Regions from separate parts of the Mus musculus genome. Here all the other regions are reported to be linked to region 3. The links are microRNA targets in miRTarBase. Many come from high-throughput screens and were not tested one by one. Region 3 holds a microRNA gene; each other region holds the end of a gene's coding sequence.

Region 1 (4,206 bases), not on the chromosome of region 3:
TTATAGCTAAAGTGACTTTTTTTTATTCGTAATTTGCCTTTTTATTGTTTAACAGTGTTTCTCAGCTATACAGTCAGTTTCAAACTGGTTGCAAAAGTATAGCTGTGGCCAATGAATGTACTTCTTTGTTTCACTAAATTATAATAAAATGCTACTGTTACAGAGTGCTTTCATTTGAAGGTGTGTTTTCTTAATGTCCCTTAATGGAATCCATTCAATTTTTTTCAAAAAATCTCATTACAAATGAATTAATGAATAATGCATTAAATCTAGACTGTAACACATTATAGCCAGTTTGAAATAAAGCACCATGATCTTAAAGGCAGTGTTATGAGGCAGACACTTACTCAAACATTAAACTAAGAAAAACCCTCATCAAGTGATTTATAACATCTCCCTCCTCCTGAGAATCTTGAAGTTTGTCTAATCTACAATCCTAGCTACCCTTTCATCGAGAAACCCCTGTGGTATTGATTGGTTCATCCCAAAGTAGAACCCACTCGTAACTGACCAAAGACCAAAGATATTTCAATTATTTTCATCTTTATTGCCCCCCACGCCCAGTCTACTGATCCTCACTGTGCAGCAAAGGCAGTGAAGGTACCTGCAGTCAGAACAGCTGTCATGTGAAGCAATTTATTCAACAAACATTTATTAAATGCTCATGTGCCAAACATTATGCTATAGAGGTGCCAAAATGAATAGTTTCTTTTCCTGCCCCTAAGGAGCTCACATTCTAATAAAGGACACTTCATAAAATAAAATATACAGTACAATAAGTGATTCAGTAGAGGTAGGTTGCAGTTACAGTGGTGACCATAGGAAGGGGACAGGGGTAATTTCACAGATTTCAAAAATGCATGGAATTTCCCAGATGAGAAAGAAGCCTAGGGCTCTCAATGCAAATACTGTGTTTGCAAAGGTTTGGAAGGCCAACAACTCTGGACTTTTGGAAAACGTTTTAACACTCTTATCAGAACAGTGGCAAACACAAGAGGAGGGTCTTGGATATCAAGCAGAGACTCTCACCAAAAAGCTCATGAAACTTGCCAGCAGGAATTAGGCTGAAGGTTTCTAGAAAGCCCAATCTGGTGATAGGAGCCAACAGAGAGATGGGAAAAGACAGGTAATCCTTTGGTGATCGTAATAAAAACTGAAAAACACTGATAGAAATGTTGAGAGAAAATCGGCAGAGCTTAAGACACCAATAGTCAGGTGGACGATACAGGAATGAACTGTAAAGCCTTGAACGGTGCAACGGCTCTGAAATTAACCAAGTAAGGAACACAAACATAGAGTAGGTTTGTGGTGACTGAGTCCTTGAAGATGCAGAAGCGACAACAGGCAGCCAAGTGAGCACAGCAGAGAGACAGACTGAGAAGCTAAAATGAGATTACTGCATTGAAATTACTCAAAAGTACGGTCCAGTGACTTAAGAGCAAAAAGTCTGAGGAATGATACTTAGGTTAAATGAAGAGACCAGAAGAAAGATACCCAGGAGTAATCCAAACACAAGGACACAAAGGAATAGGGATTGTCAATTGTGTCATGTACAGGAAAAGTTAAGATTTCTTAAAAATTAAACTGCTTGTTAACTATAAACTTAGAATTAGGTATTAGACTTCACTTGGAGGGACAGAGGACATAGCCAATCAAGTGGGAAAAGCACGTGAAAGCAGTGAGGGTTTCAAAAGGGCTGGCTTGTGTGTGGTGATCATTTAGTTCTTTTAAGTCCCCAAGAAAACTGACCTAATTAGTGGGTTGATGTCTTTTATTATGAGATCCAAAAGAAAAAGTGAGAGGGAGGGGGAAATAGGATACATTACTAAACAAGCTACATCACCATCACTTAACGTATACTAAATACATATACTTTCCATCAATAAATATTAGACACCAACTGTATGCCTGGCACTAGACCAAGTCTTAGGGACAGAGAAAATACACAACAGTGTAAAGTGACATTCCTAGCCATTACATACGTAAGTCCTGCTTTTTCTTATGTGACATCTCAACCAGTCCTAACTGCTCAAGACATTAGATGTGACCTCAAGGGGGCATAATTTTGAGGTATATGCCATTTATAATTGCCATGTGATGTAAATTCTTAAGCCACATCAAATACTGCTCTCAGTGTAGAGCTTCTACTAACAACCCATCCTATCTACGTTACAGCTCCATCCTGTGGAGAAAAACAGAGTTTCATGCGTAAAAACATGAGTTGTATAGCCTGTGACTACACAGGTCGAAAAAGGCAACCAAATTCAAACGTCAGGTGGCTGGGATGTGGGATGTCTCCTTATTTTAAGGCTTATAGTAAGTAGTTCAGCTCAGATTTGTAAGGTTTGGATATTCCTTTAAAAAGAAAACAAAAAATAGTTTTTAGGAAATTATTGACCACCACACTGAAGTATTTTGGGTTAAATCATGAGGCCCATGACTCAAACCCTTAAATAAAAACAGGGTGTCTATGTCTATGTAGGAGCTTAAGCAAGGCCTGAGGACACAGCTCATGAATGCAGGGCTAGCCCAGCATGACTGAGGTCCTGGGCTCAATCGCCACTCTGAGCTGGGGTGAGGGGTTAAAACACATGTGAACAATCCATGAATCTGAGTAAAACCAGTTTGGTTTTTTTTTTAACTGTTTTTGAAACTTTTCTGTAAATATGAAATTATATAAAAATAAAATTTTCCCCAAAATTCCATTAGGGAAACTATTATGAGAATAAATATATAATCTATTTATCTTTCTACGATGTTTAGAAATCTCCTGTGCCTTTGAATTGTTCTACTTCCCAACATACCAAAACAGCACAATCAAAATAGCTATTTAACTCTAAAAGGAATGTTTCATACCAGTGTATTTTAAGGTTGCCAGGAAAACACAGGGCTCCCAGTTAAACTTGAACTTCGAGCAAATAACTTGTAGTATAAATAGGCCCTAATAAACTTCAACACACTTAACATTGAAAGGAAAACTGGTTGCTTTTCTAAAACTTAAATCTAACTGGGCAGTCTGTATTTTCTTTGTATATGAGGCAAATGAAAAAGCATTGGTATCTGAGGCTGATAACCATGGTTTACTGCTGAGCCTCTTAGTATTTTATTACCAAACACTTGTCACAGGTACCTTAGCTTAGCTTTCATTACCTTCTTAAATTCAACTCTAGTTTGAGAGCCTAAGGCAATATTTACCTAGCTTTATCATAAGGGAGTTTAATGACCTTACTTTTGCTTAGTATTAAAATTTGTATATTATCAAAATACTACTTCTATTCACAATAATATTAAACATGAACACAATTTTTAAAAATGTCATTTACTTAAGACAATGTATCTCTTCTTTTACAAAAGCAGCTTTATATAAACGTTTGGCTTAGGACAGTCATTGCAACCATGGTGCTCAGAGAGATTCTGCCCTTCAGATTCCCCTGTGCAGAAACAGGCACATTCCAACCGTCCTCCTCAGTGAACATTCTGTAACAAGTGCCTGAAGTTCTCTAGTTCTCTCACACTTGTGGAAATCCTGTAACCAAGAAACATTTCATGTAAAAACTGTCTTTCATAAATTCTATTAATCATTCTGCATTTTTTAGAATATATAAAAATTTTAAAGTAGTTTATTTCAACAAATTGAAAGGTACATAAGGGCTGGCAAGATGGCTCAGCGGTTAAGAGCACTGACTACTCTTCCTGAAGGTCCAGAGTTCAAATCCCAGCAACCACATGGTGGCTCACAACCACCCATAATGAGATCCGATGCCCTCTTCTGGTGTGTCTGAAGACAGCTACAGTGTACTTCCATATAACAATAAATAAATTTAAGAAATAAAAATAAATAAATAAATAAACCATCAGGTAAACATTTAAAAAAAAAAAGTACATAAATCTACTTATATCCTTTAGTTTTTAATCTGGCAAGGAAAACCCAAGATAATATTGCCCAACACAAGCTAACTTTTAATATTCAAGTATTAAAAATATATATGTATATGTATATAAGTGTGTATTTTAAATATCCAGAGCTATGCTGAGGTATTTAAAGCACACCAATATTTAGTGTAAAATATATAACAGCATCAGAATACTTATATATTTTAGGTATTCATAAATGTACTTGTTATTTGTATTATATACATAATACAAAATACAGAAATGTAAAAATATTAAAATAAGCATTTAGCTATCCAGTATAAGAGCACAATA
Region 2 (4,206 bases), not on the chromosome of region 3:
GATTGCAAGTCTGAGTCCACTCCATGGAGGTGAGAGGGGAGAAGAGAGTCAGGGCAGAAAGAAGGAAAGGGAGAACGGCGCGAAAGCAGTTATTATGAGATGACCTTGGAGATTCTCCAGCCAGTTTCCTTCCGTTTGTAGTAGAGAGCTGAGGCCAAATGTCAAAGGTCATGCTGAAACTAGGGGTCACCTCCTGACCCCTAGCTCTTCGGAATCCAAGGCTACTTCAGAAATTCCTCTAGAATTTACAATTAAGGCAGGCAAGCTGGATAGGATGGCCCCAACCTGTAATCCCAGCACTTGGGAGATTGGGGCAGGAGGATCACGAGTTGAAGCTAGCTCACCTTTGGCTACATAGGGAGTTCAAGGCCCCTCTGGCTATGTGAGACCCTGTCTCTGAAAACAAGCAAGTAAACAAAAACAGAAGGACAAAGAAGGCAAAAGTTATATAAACTTTTTTTTGTACATGAAATAAGCATCTTTTTAATTTTTAAATTAAGGCCCAAAGTCAACAATGATATATGATCTTCATCTTCTTTAGAGTTTTTTGTTGTGATCGTCATGCGTTCTTAACGTCCTAATTTCGCGTGTATTTCTCGGTTCGCAGTGCTGAGGGTTATCCTTGCCACTACATTTTGCCTGGTAACCGGGATCCTGGTGATACTTCTGCTTGTCCTCATCCGCCATGGGCCCTGCTGGCAGAGAGATGTGTATCGGAACATCTGAACAGACAGCTGACCTTGGGGACGTCTCTCAATGAAGCAGCACCGGCAAGAAGCTCTTCTGCCATGCAGGCTCTGTCCTGCCCATGCCCTCCCTTTAGAACTTACCTAGAGTTGGTGTGAGCTCACTGCCACGGGGGAGAGTGCAGAGCTGGCAGGTCAGTTATGTCTCCTTACCATTGAGCTGTTCACAGGGCTAAGATAGGACTCTTGCAAGGGATGCCTCTGCTCTTTTACACAGAGGTCCTGAAAGAAGAAGCCAAATTCCAACCCACCTTGTGACTATGAAGACGAAAGGGAGAGAAAGTGGGGTCAGGATTTAGGTTAGAACGCACTAGGTAACTCGGAATGTTAGACTAGAAGATCCACAGAAAAATGACTTTAGTTATGTAATATGCTTAATTCTCATTCTCTCTCTCTCTCTCTCTCGCTCACTCACTCGCAAGCAATTCAAACCCAGCACTTCATAACTGACAAATTTCTGTGTGTACATCCAACACACACATACATATATCCGTATGCAGAATGTCTTTAGGTGACGTGTTCGATTCTCAGAAACCATAGCATCATTCACTTTAAGCACAGCTCCGGTCATTTTCTCTCATTTTCGTACAGAGAAATAACTGAAAAACCCATGAGATGAGTTCACCTTCCTCACGCCCCTCACTACCTTATTTTTATGCAGTGGGTAGTACATTCACTTTAAAATTACGATATCTTATACTTAAGGGCTGTTTGTTGCTACTATGAAATGATTTTTGTTTTTACTTATTTATTTTTTACTGTCGTGCCAGACTTCAAAATCCCTGGGTCTAACACAAGCTCGGAGAGTACTCTATTTGAATTATGCCCTTAGTCCTCTCTGACTTTTATACGGTGCCAACACAGAAAGTAAAGTACCCTGTGGGGGGGGGTGACAACCTGCTGGCTTAAGTCGTATTTCTTATTCTAAAGTAGAAAACTCTAGACAAGAGGAATGCAGAAGTCACATCCAGATTTCATTTTCTGTGACCAGTTTTATTCTGCTTTTACTACAGATGAGTCAGGGCCCCATCAAACCCCTCCATGACTGGCACCACCCATGAAGTCATTAGGAAAAAAGGCCAAAATGTACTTTATAGCATGACAAACTGCTCTGGACACACAAGCATTCCACTGGTGATAAATTCGATCTCATTCTTCAGTGGGTTGCCCTACTTCCTTGGGGTTGCTTAAAGATCTCGAAATATACCTGAGTCCATGCTCACTCTCCACCCACATGTGCTCTTCTGCAGAAAAACGTAGACATTCAAGCTCCCAAGGCCACACTCAGAATTCACTTTGCAGTGCTGTCTAGATGTGGGATGCTGGGACCTTTGACCTGCTCTCCACGCAGATCCCCAGCGCATCCCTCAAGCCCCGGAAGCCCTTCTGTTAAATGCCACTCGCTCACATCTATAGTCTGTATTTTTAATACCATTCTCAGTGAGCCAAGGTCATTGAAAACAAAACTCGGAGCCCCCCTCTCATATGTGTGTATTTATGTAGCATGTGATAATGTGCACACGGGTGGGTGCTGTCTTCTCACGCATGCGCAGAGAACAAAGGATTATGTCACGTGTCCTGTTCTATTACTTTTCTTACCTTGAGAGAAGATCTCTCACTGAACCCAAAGCTACTCTGACATCCAGCAAGCCCCAGTGATCCTCCTGGCTTGTCTCCACAGCACTGGGGTTACAGGGACACAAGGGCCACACTCAGCATTTTACATAGGTGCTTGGGACTTGAACTCAAGTCCTCATGCTTGGACAACAAGGGCTCTTACCCACCTACCCATCTGCTCAATCCCCAGTTCCTACCATTGCTTCGATTACTATATGGAAAGCTCTCAGGCTCAATATCGCAGTGCCCTTTATCTTCTGTTGGTAAATACTATAAGCAGTTTTCATACACTGTGGCAGAATCCCAAGTGACAGATGAGCTATAGGAATCATGCAAAGAACACAAAGGAACTGTGGGGTGTCCCAGAAAATAAGCAACGTCAACAACAGGGCATGTGAACTCCCGATACTGATAACTACTTGGTAGATGAGACAGATGTGACCATTCCAGTTGTCATGGTGATGTTGCAAGAGCGTCACTAGAGCTGCGATCACCTCTGTTGTGATGTGTGCTCCGTGTCATTTGAGAAGCCTTTGTGGAGAATTTCCATGAAGCAGTCATTAGCGTGTTGATAGTAATTACACAAAAACACTAGTGATGCCTATACAGGAAAGCACTGAGAGAGCGAGCGCTCGAGTGCTAGGTTGTTCCGAGCTTTAGTGGCAAAGCACAGACAGAGAATTGGAGAACTTGTGAAAAAAAAAATCCCACTGCTTAAGGAATGGCGTACATGAGGCTCCGACTGGCATTCACTGGGCAGCTTTTTACACAAAAGCTGATATTCTCTTCCCTGAATTCACTTGTGTTTCCTGTCTTCCTGTCCTTTTTCTGTCTTGTTCTAATACTCTTAGCACTGATTCCTCACAGTCATGGGGGCTTCTGGGTAAATAAAAGCCAAATTATAACGGCTTTCTCTTTTAAAACCCTCTCCAAGAAACTATCCAAACAATCGTGAAATGTTGGCACCCTAGATAGGGCTAAGAGACACATATGGTCACACTCATGGTCTTAAATGGCCTACAGCCACGTTTGTAATGGAAAACTTTTTTAGGTGAGATGAATTATAATATAAAAATTTATTTAACATAATGCATGTAAAATAACATTTCAACAAAAAGTGTTCATGGAATATTTTTAAGATGAGTTTCATACTAAGTATTTAAAAATGTGATGTGATGTTTTGTTCCAAGTTGGAGTAGCCACCTTTGAGGACTTGGGAGTCACTAGTGGCTCCCATGCTGAATAGTTCTGGCCTAGGCCATTCGATGACAGCCTTTTTTTTAAAGCAGAGAGAACACATACATCCTTTATTTGTAAAATACACTTTGGGTTATTGTGAAGAAATAGACATCATCCTTAGGACTGGAATGTAGCTCACCAACAAAGTGCTTGCCTAGCATAGGTGAGCCCTGAGTTCCATCCCCAGTACCACAATAAAGTCAAGTAAAACAAACACAACAGGTCACCTTTATCCTGTGTCTTCACTGTTTTTTAATCTTTGGCCAAACTAATAAAATATTGTCTGAAATGTTTCATTTGTAAGCCTGGGTTACAGGTGTACTAGTCAGAGTTCACTAGAGGCACAAAACCTATGGGCTGTCTCCCTATATTAAGGGAATGTATTGTGATGACTTACAGTCTGTAGACCAACTAACCCAACAATGGGCAGTGTGGGTGGGAAGTCCAAGACTCTAGAAGTTGTTCAGTCCCATGAGACTAGTTGTTTCAGCTAGTCTTCTGTAGAAGTAGGTTCCAACGGATGTGCTGGCTAGTAAGTGCAAGCAGTTGAAGAAGAGTGACTCTTCCTTCTTCCAATGTCCTTATGTAGGTCCCCAGAAGAAGA
Region 3 (4,206 bases):
TGCAGCGCTGGCTGATGCCTGTGAGGCTATGGTGGCAGTGATGGCAGCACTGGGTGTGGCAGTAGATGGTGGCAAAGACTCCCTCAGCATGGCTGCCCGGGTCGGCACTGAGACGGTGCAGGCTCCTGGTAAGGATGAGGCCCTTGTGAGAGGGAAGAAGGACCTGTGGGCCTGGGCTGCTACCTCACTTGGTCTTATTTCTCTTTGCTCGGTAGGGTCACTGGTCATTTCAGCATATGCTGTCTGTCCAGACATCACAGCCACTGTGACCCCAGACCTCAAACATCCTGGTGGGAAAGGTATGGCTCCGTCCCCCTTGTCCTTGTGGTTCTGTTCTGAGCTTGCTCCTTGCTTTGAGGTCTACTTTATGAGTCCTGGTCCCCCTTGTCTCAGCCCTGAGGTGCACTGCTTTTTAGGGCTGGAAATTGGTAGTGTCCTACTGTGTACTGTGAGTGCTGTCTTGAGCTGCCGTCCCACTTTGCTTTCTTAGGTCATTTGCTTTATGTGCCTTTGAGCCCCGGGCAGCACCGGCTGGGAGGAACGGCTCTAGCCCAGTGTTTCTCCCAGCTTGGGGAGCACCCTCCTGATCTAGACCTTCCCGAGAACCTTGTGCGTGCCTTTCATATCACCCAGGGGCTGCTGAAAGGTGAGCGTGGCCCTGGTACGTGGGGGCGGGGGGGGGGGGGTGAACAAGTGAGTGATGTGCCTTCAGGCCAAACCCTTCTCTCCCGTGAGTGCCCGCCTTCTCACACTCCCTGGCTCTCTAGATGCTCTGGAGCCTTAGGCTTGCCCTGAGATGGCTGAATTTTTCCTTGTTCCTCCAGAATGCCGTCTTTGCTCAGGCCATGATGTCAGCGATGGGGGGCTTGTCACCTGCCTTCTAGAGATGGCCTTTGCTGGGAACTGTGGGATAGAGGTAGATGTACCTGCCCCTGGGATCCATGGTGAGTTGCTTGGGCTGTCTCCTCTACTTGTAGATTTTCTGGTATAAAGAATGTGGTATCTCTGACCCTATCTCCTGAGTCTTGGCTGAATCCTCCATTTCTATCTTCATGTTCTGAACTTTGGCCGTCTACGACCTCTCATAGTCCCTGGTGCATCTTCCATGAGCTCCTCCTCCAGAACCCATCTCACCCGAGTCATCCGGACTCACCCCTTTTTCCAGCATTGCCTGTGCTGTTTGCGGAAGAGCCCGGTCTGGTGTTGGAGGTACAGGAGGCAGATGTGGCCGGAGTACGGCAGAGGTACGAGAGTGCTGGCCTACGGTGTCTGGAACTGGGCCACACAGGCGAGGCTGGACCCCAGGCCATGGTGAGGAAGCCAGGGAGAATGTAGTGTTACCGTGAGCCTGTCAGCAAATACCACTCACGGGGACACACTTTCTCCTTCATGGGTCTCCCCACTGCAGGCCCGAATATCAGTGAATAAGGCTGTGGTAGTAGAGGAGCCTGTTGGGGAGTTAAGAGCCCTCTGGGAGGAAACAAGTTTCCAGCTGGACCTACTGCAGGCAGAGCCACGCTGTGTGATAGAGGAGAAACAGGGCCTGAAGGAGCGGACAGGGCCCAGCTACTACCTGCCGCCCACCTTTCCTGTGGCCTCTGTGCCCTGTAAACCTGGTAAGGGAGCGTGCACAGAGGCTGGGGTACTTGGATCTGCCCTTGGGAAGGCATCTGGGGTTTTAGAGTGGATAGGTAGCATTCTGCTCAGAGACACATCTTCCAGGTGGACCCGTCCCTCGAGTTGCCATCTTGCGAGAAGAGGGCAGCAATGGAGACCGAGAAATGGCTGATGCCTTTCACTTGGCAGGCTTTGAGGTAAGCCTGGTACCTAACAGAGCTGGAGATCTTGATCTTGTCTTGGCTATAAGTCTTCTAACGGTTTCCTCCCTGTCGTATTAGGTGTGGGATGTGACCATGCAAGATCTCTGCTCTGGGGCCATCAGGTTGGACACATTCCGTGGTGTGGCCTTTGTGGGCGGCTTCAGCTACGCAGACGTCCTGGGCTCTGCTAAAGGTCAGTGTGCAGTCTGGATCTGCCATTTCCACATTCCCTGCTAAAATGTCTTCGGCTGCTTCTGCCCAGACTGCAGCCAACTTGTTGCCCTCACAAGTCAGGCAGAGTGCTCTGTTTCAAGACCAGAGGCCAGCAGGAGGATGGCTGGCTTTCCTGAGCTGTACAAGCCTAGAAGGCATGCCTCATCTGAACAGTTGACTGCTCTTCAACTTGATCAGGTTGTCCTGTTCTGTGGAAAGATGGTTCAGCACAACTAGATCAAGGGAGGGCAAAGGATCAGGCTTTTTGTGCGTGAAGTCTTTTCCCTTTTTTAATGAGATACAGTTTTGTGAAGCTGCTCAAACTCAAAAGGTAGCCATCTTACTTTAGCCTTTTTTTTTAAAAGATTAATTAATTTATTTTATGTATATGAGTACACTGTCGATATCTTCAGACACACCAGAAGAGGGCATCAGACCCCATTACAGATGGTGGTGAGCCACCATGTGGTTGCTGGGATTTGAACTCAGGACCTCTGGAAGAGCAGTCAGTGCTCTTAACTGCTGTACTGTTGAGGCTTAGATAACTACATAGCATTAAAAAAATATATTTTTGCTTAGCATAGAGAAATTCATGGGCCGGGCGCATGCCTTTAATCTCAGCACTTGAGAGGTGGATTTCTGAGTTTGAGGCCAACCTGGTCTAAAAAGTGAGTTCAGGACAGCCAGGAGGGCTATGCAGAGAAACCCTGTCTCAAAAAAAAAAAAAAAAAAAGAGAGAGAGAGATTCATGGATCCTGTCAGGCTATCTGATTAAAGCAGATCAGGCTGTTTCTTTCCTCAAGGCTGTCCCAGGGTCTGAAGAGACCGATTTAGAATAGAGGGCTGTCATGTCATTCCCTTCACGCCCTGCTTTTGCTTTCTCCGGCTTTTTTTTTTTTAGATAGATTTATTTATTTATTAGATTTATTAATTTATTATATATATGTACACTGTACCTGTCTTCAGATCTCATTATGGATGGTTGTGAGCCATCATGTGGTTGCTGGGATTTGAACTCAGAACCTTTGGAAGAGCAGTCAGTGCTCTTAACCACTGAGCCATCCCTCCAGCCCCTTTATTATTATATCTATCTTCAGATGCACCAGATGAGCGCCTCAGATTTCATTACAGATAGTTGTGGTTTTGGGAATTTGAACTCAGGACCTTCGGAAGAACAGTCAGTGCTCTTAACCACTGAGCCATCATCTCTCCAGCCCTTTCTCAGGCCTTTTCTCACTCTGGCTTAACTGTTCTTCCTAGGTTGGGCAGCTGCGGTGACCTTTAATCCACAGGCCAGGGAAGAGCTGGGCCGATTCCGAAGGCGGCCGGACACCTTCAGCCTGGGCGTGTGTAATGGCTGTCAGCTGCTGGCTCTTCTGGGCTGGGTGGGAAGTGATCCCAGTGAAGAGCAAGCTGAGCCAGGCCAGGACTCCCAGCCAACACAGCCGGGCCTCCTGCTCCGCCACAATCTGTCTGGGCGGTTCGAGTCCCGATGGGCCACCGTACGTGTGGAGCCGGGGCCAGCCCTGATGCTCCGAGGGATGGAAGGCTCTGTGCTGCCCGTGTGGAGTGCTCACGGGGAAGGTCAGGCTGGGAAGGCAGGGGAGGGTTTGCAAGCTGGGGCTGGGGCTGGGCCTGAAGGAACTTGGCCTTCACTCTCTTCTCCTTCACTTCCAGGCTACATGGCATTTTCTTCTCCTGAACTCCAAGCCAAGATCGAGGCCAAGGGCCTGGTTCCTCTGCACTGGGCAGACGATGATGGGAACCCCACAGAGCAGTACCCTCTGAACCCCAATGGATCTCCAGGGGGCATAGCTGGTATCTGTTCCCAAGATGGCCGACACCTGGCACTCATGCCGCACCCTGAGCGGGCTGTAAGGCTTTGGCAGTGGGCATGGCGACCCTCTCCCTTTGATGTTCTTCCCACCTCCCCGTGGCTGCAGCTCTTCATCAATGCTAGGAACTGGACCCAGGAGGACAGCTGCTGAGGAGGCCGCATGACCACCCTGGCCCACAGCTCACCCTTTGACTCCGTTGCCTTCTTTCCCCATTGCTTTCAGGAGTATCCCATGTGATTTCCAAAAGCATCTTAGCAAGAACCAAAATGCTGGGATGACCTCAGCTGCATTGCTCATTTTAGCCTTGCCCCTGCAAGAGCTGCTTTCAGCTCTTG

The links. The annotated mature microRNA mmu-miR-3062-5p reads GGAGAAUGUAGUGUUACCGUGA and lies in region 3 at 1,325-1,346, shown strand. An mRNA with a match to its seed (bases 2 to 7 or 8) in the 3' UTR can be bound and repressed. Matches are read on the target gene's strand: a 7mer-m8 pairs with bases 2 to 8, a 7mer-A1 pairs with bases 2 to 7 and ends in A, and an 8mer does both.
Region 1: the mRNA of Ero1a is a reported target of mmu-miR-3062-5p. Seed matches in the 3' UTR shown: 7mer-A1 at 2,721-2,727.
Region 2: miRTarBase lists Acpp as a target of mmu-miR-3062-5p. Seed matches in the 3' UTR shown: 7mer-A1 at 1,124-1,130, 7mer-m8 at 1,129-1,135, 7mer-A1 at 1,270-1,276 and 8mer at 2,179-2,186.

What each region holds. Positions count from the first base shown.
Region 1 is chr14:45,282,563-45,286,768 of GRCm38, forward strand. It overlaps Ero1a (endoplasmic reticulum oxidoreductase 1 alpha), which reads right to left. Exons shown (of 16, transcript NM_015774.3): 16 at 525-3,526. The coding sequence ends at 3,466. It also overlaps a transcript of Gpr137c not described here. Among named protein-coding and RNA genes, the nearest start is that of Ero1a, 34 kb to the right of the region's middle.
Region 2 is chr9:104,287,931-104,292,136 of GRCm38, reverse strand. Acpp (acid phosphatase, prostate) reads left to right here. Exons shown (of 11, transcript NM_207668.2): 11 at 608-3,897. The coding sequence ends at 726. Among named protein-coding and RNA genes, the nearest start is that of Dnajc13, 27 kb to the right of the region's middle.
Region 3 is chr11:68,987,778-68,991,983 of GRCm38, reverse strand. Mir3062 (microRNA 3062) reads left to right here and starts at 1,306; the gene lies at 1,306-1,410. Pfas (phosphoribosylformylglycinamidine synthase (FGAR amidotransferase)) reads left to right here. Exons shown (of 28, transcript NM_001159519.1): 19 at 1-128; 20 at 216-299; 21 at 491-646; 22 at 825-944; 23 at 1,166-1,311; 24 at 1,409-1,616; 25 at 1,723-1,814; 26 at 1,899-2,013; 27 at 3,294-3,617; 28 at 3,711-4,206. The coding sequence ends at 4,021.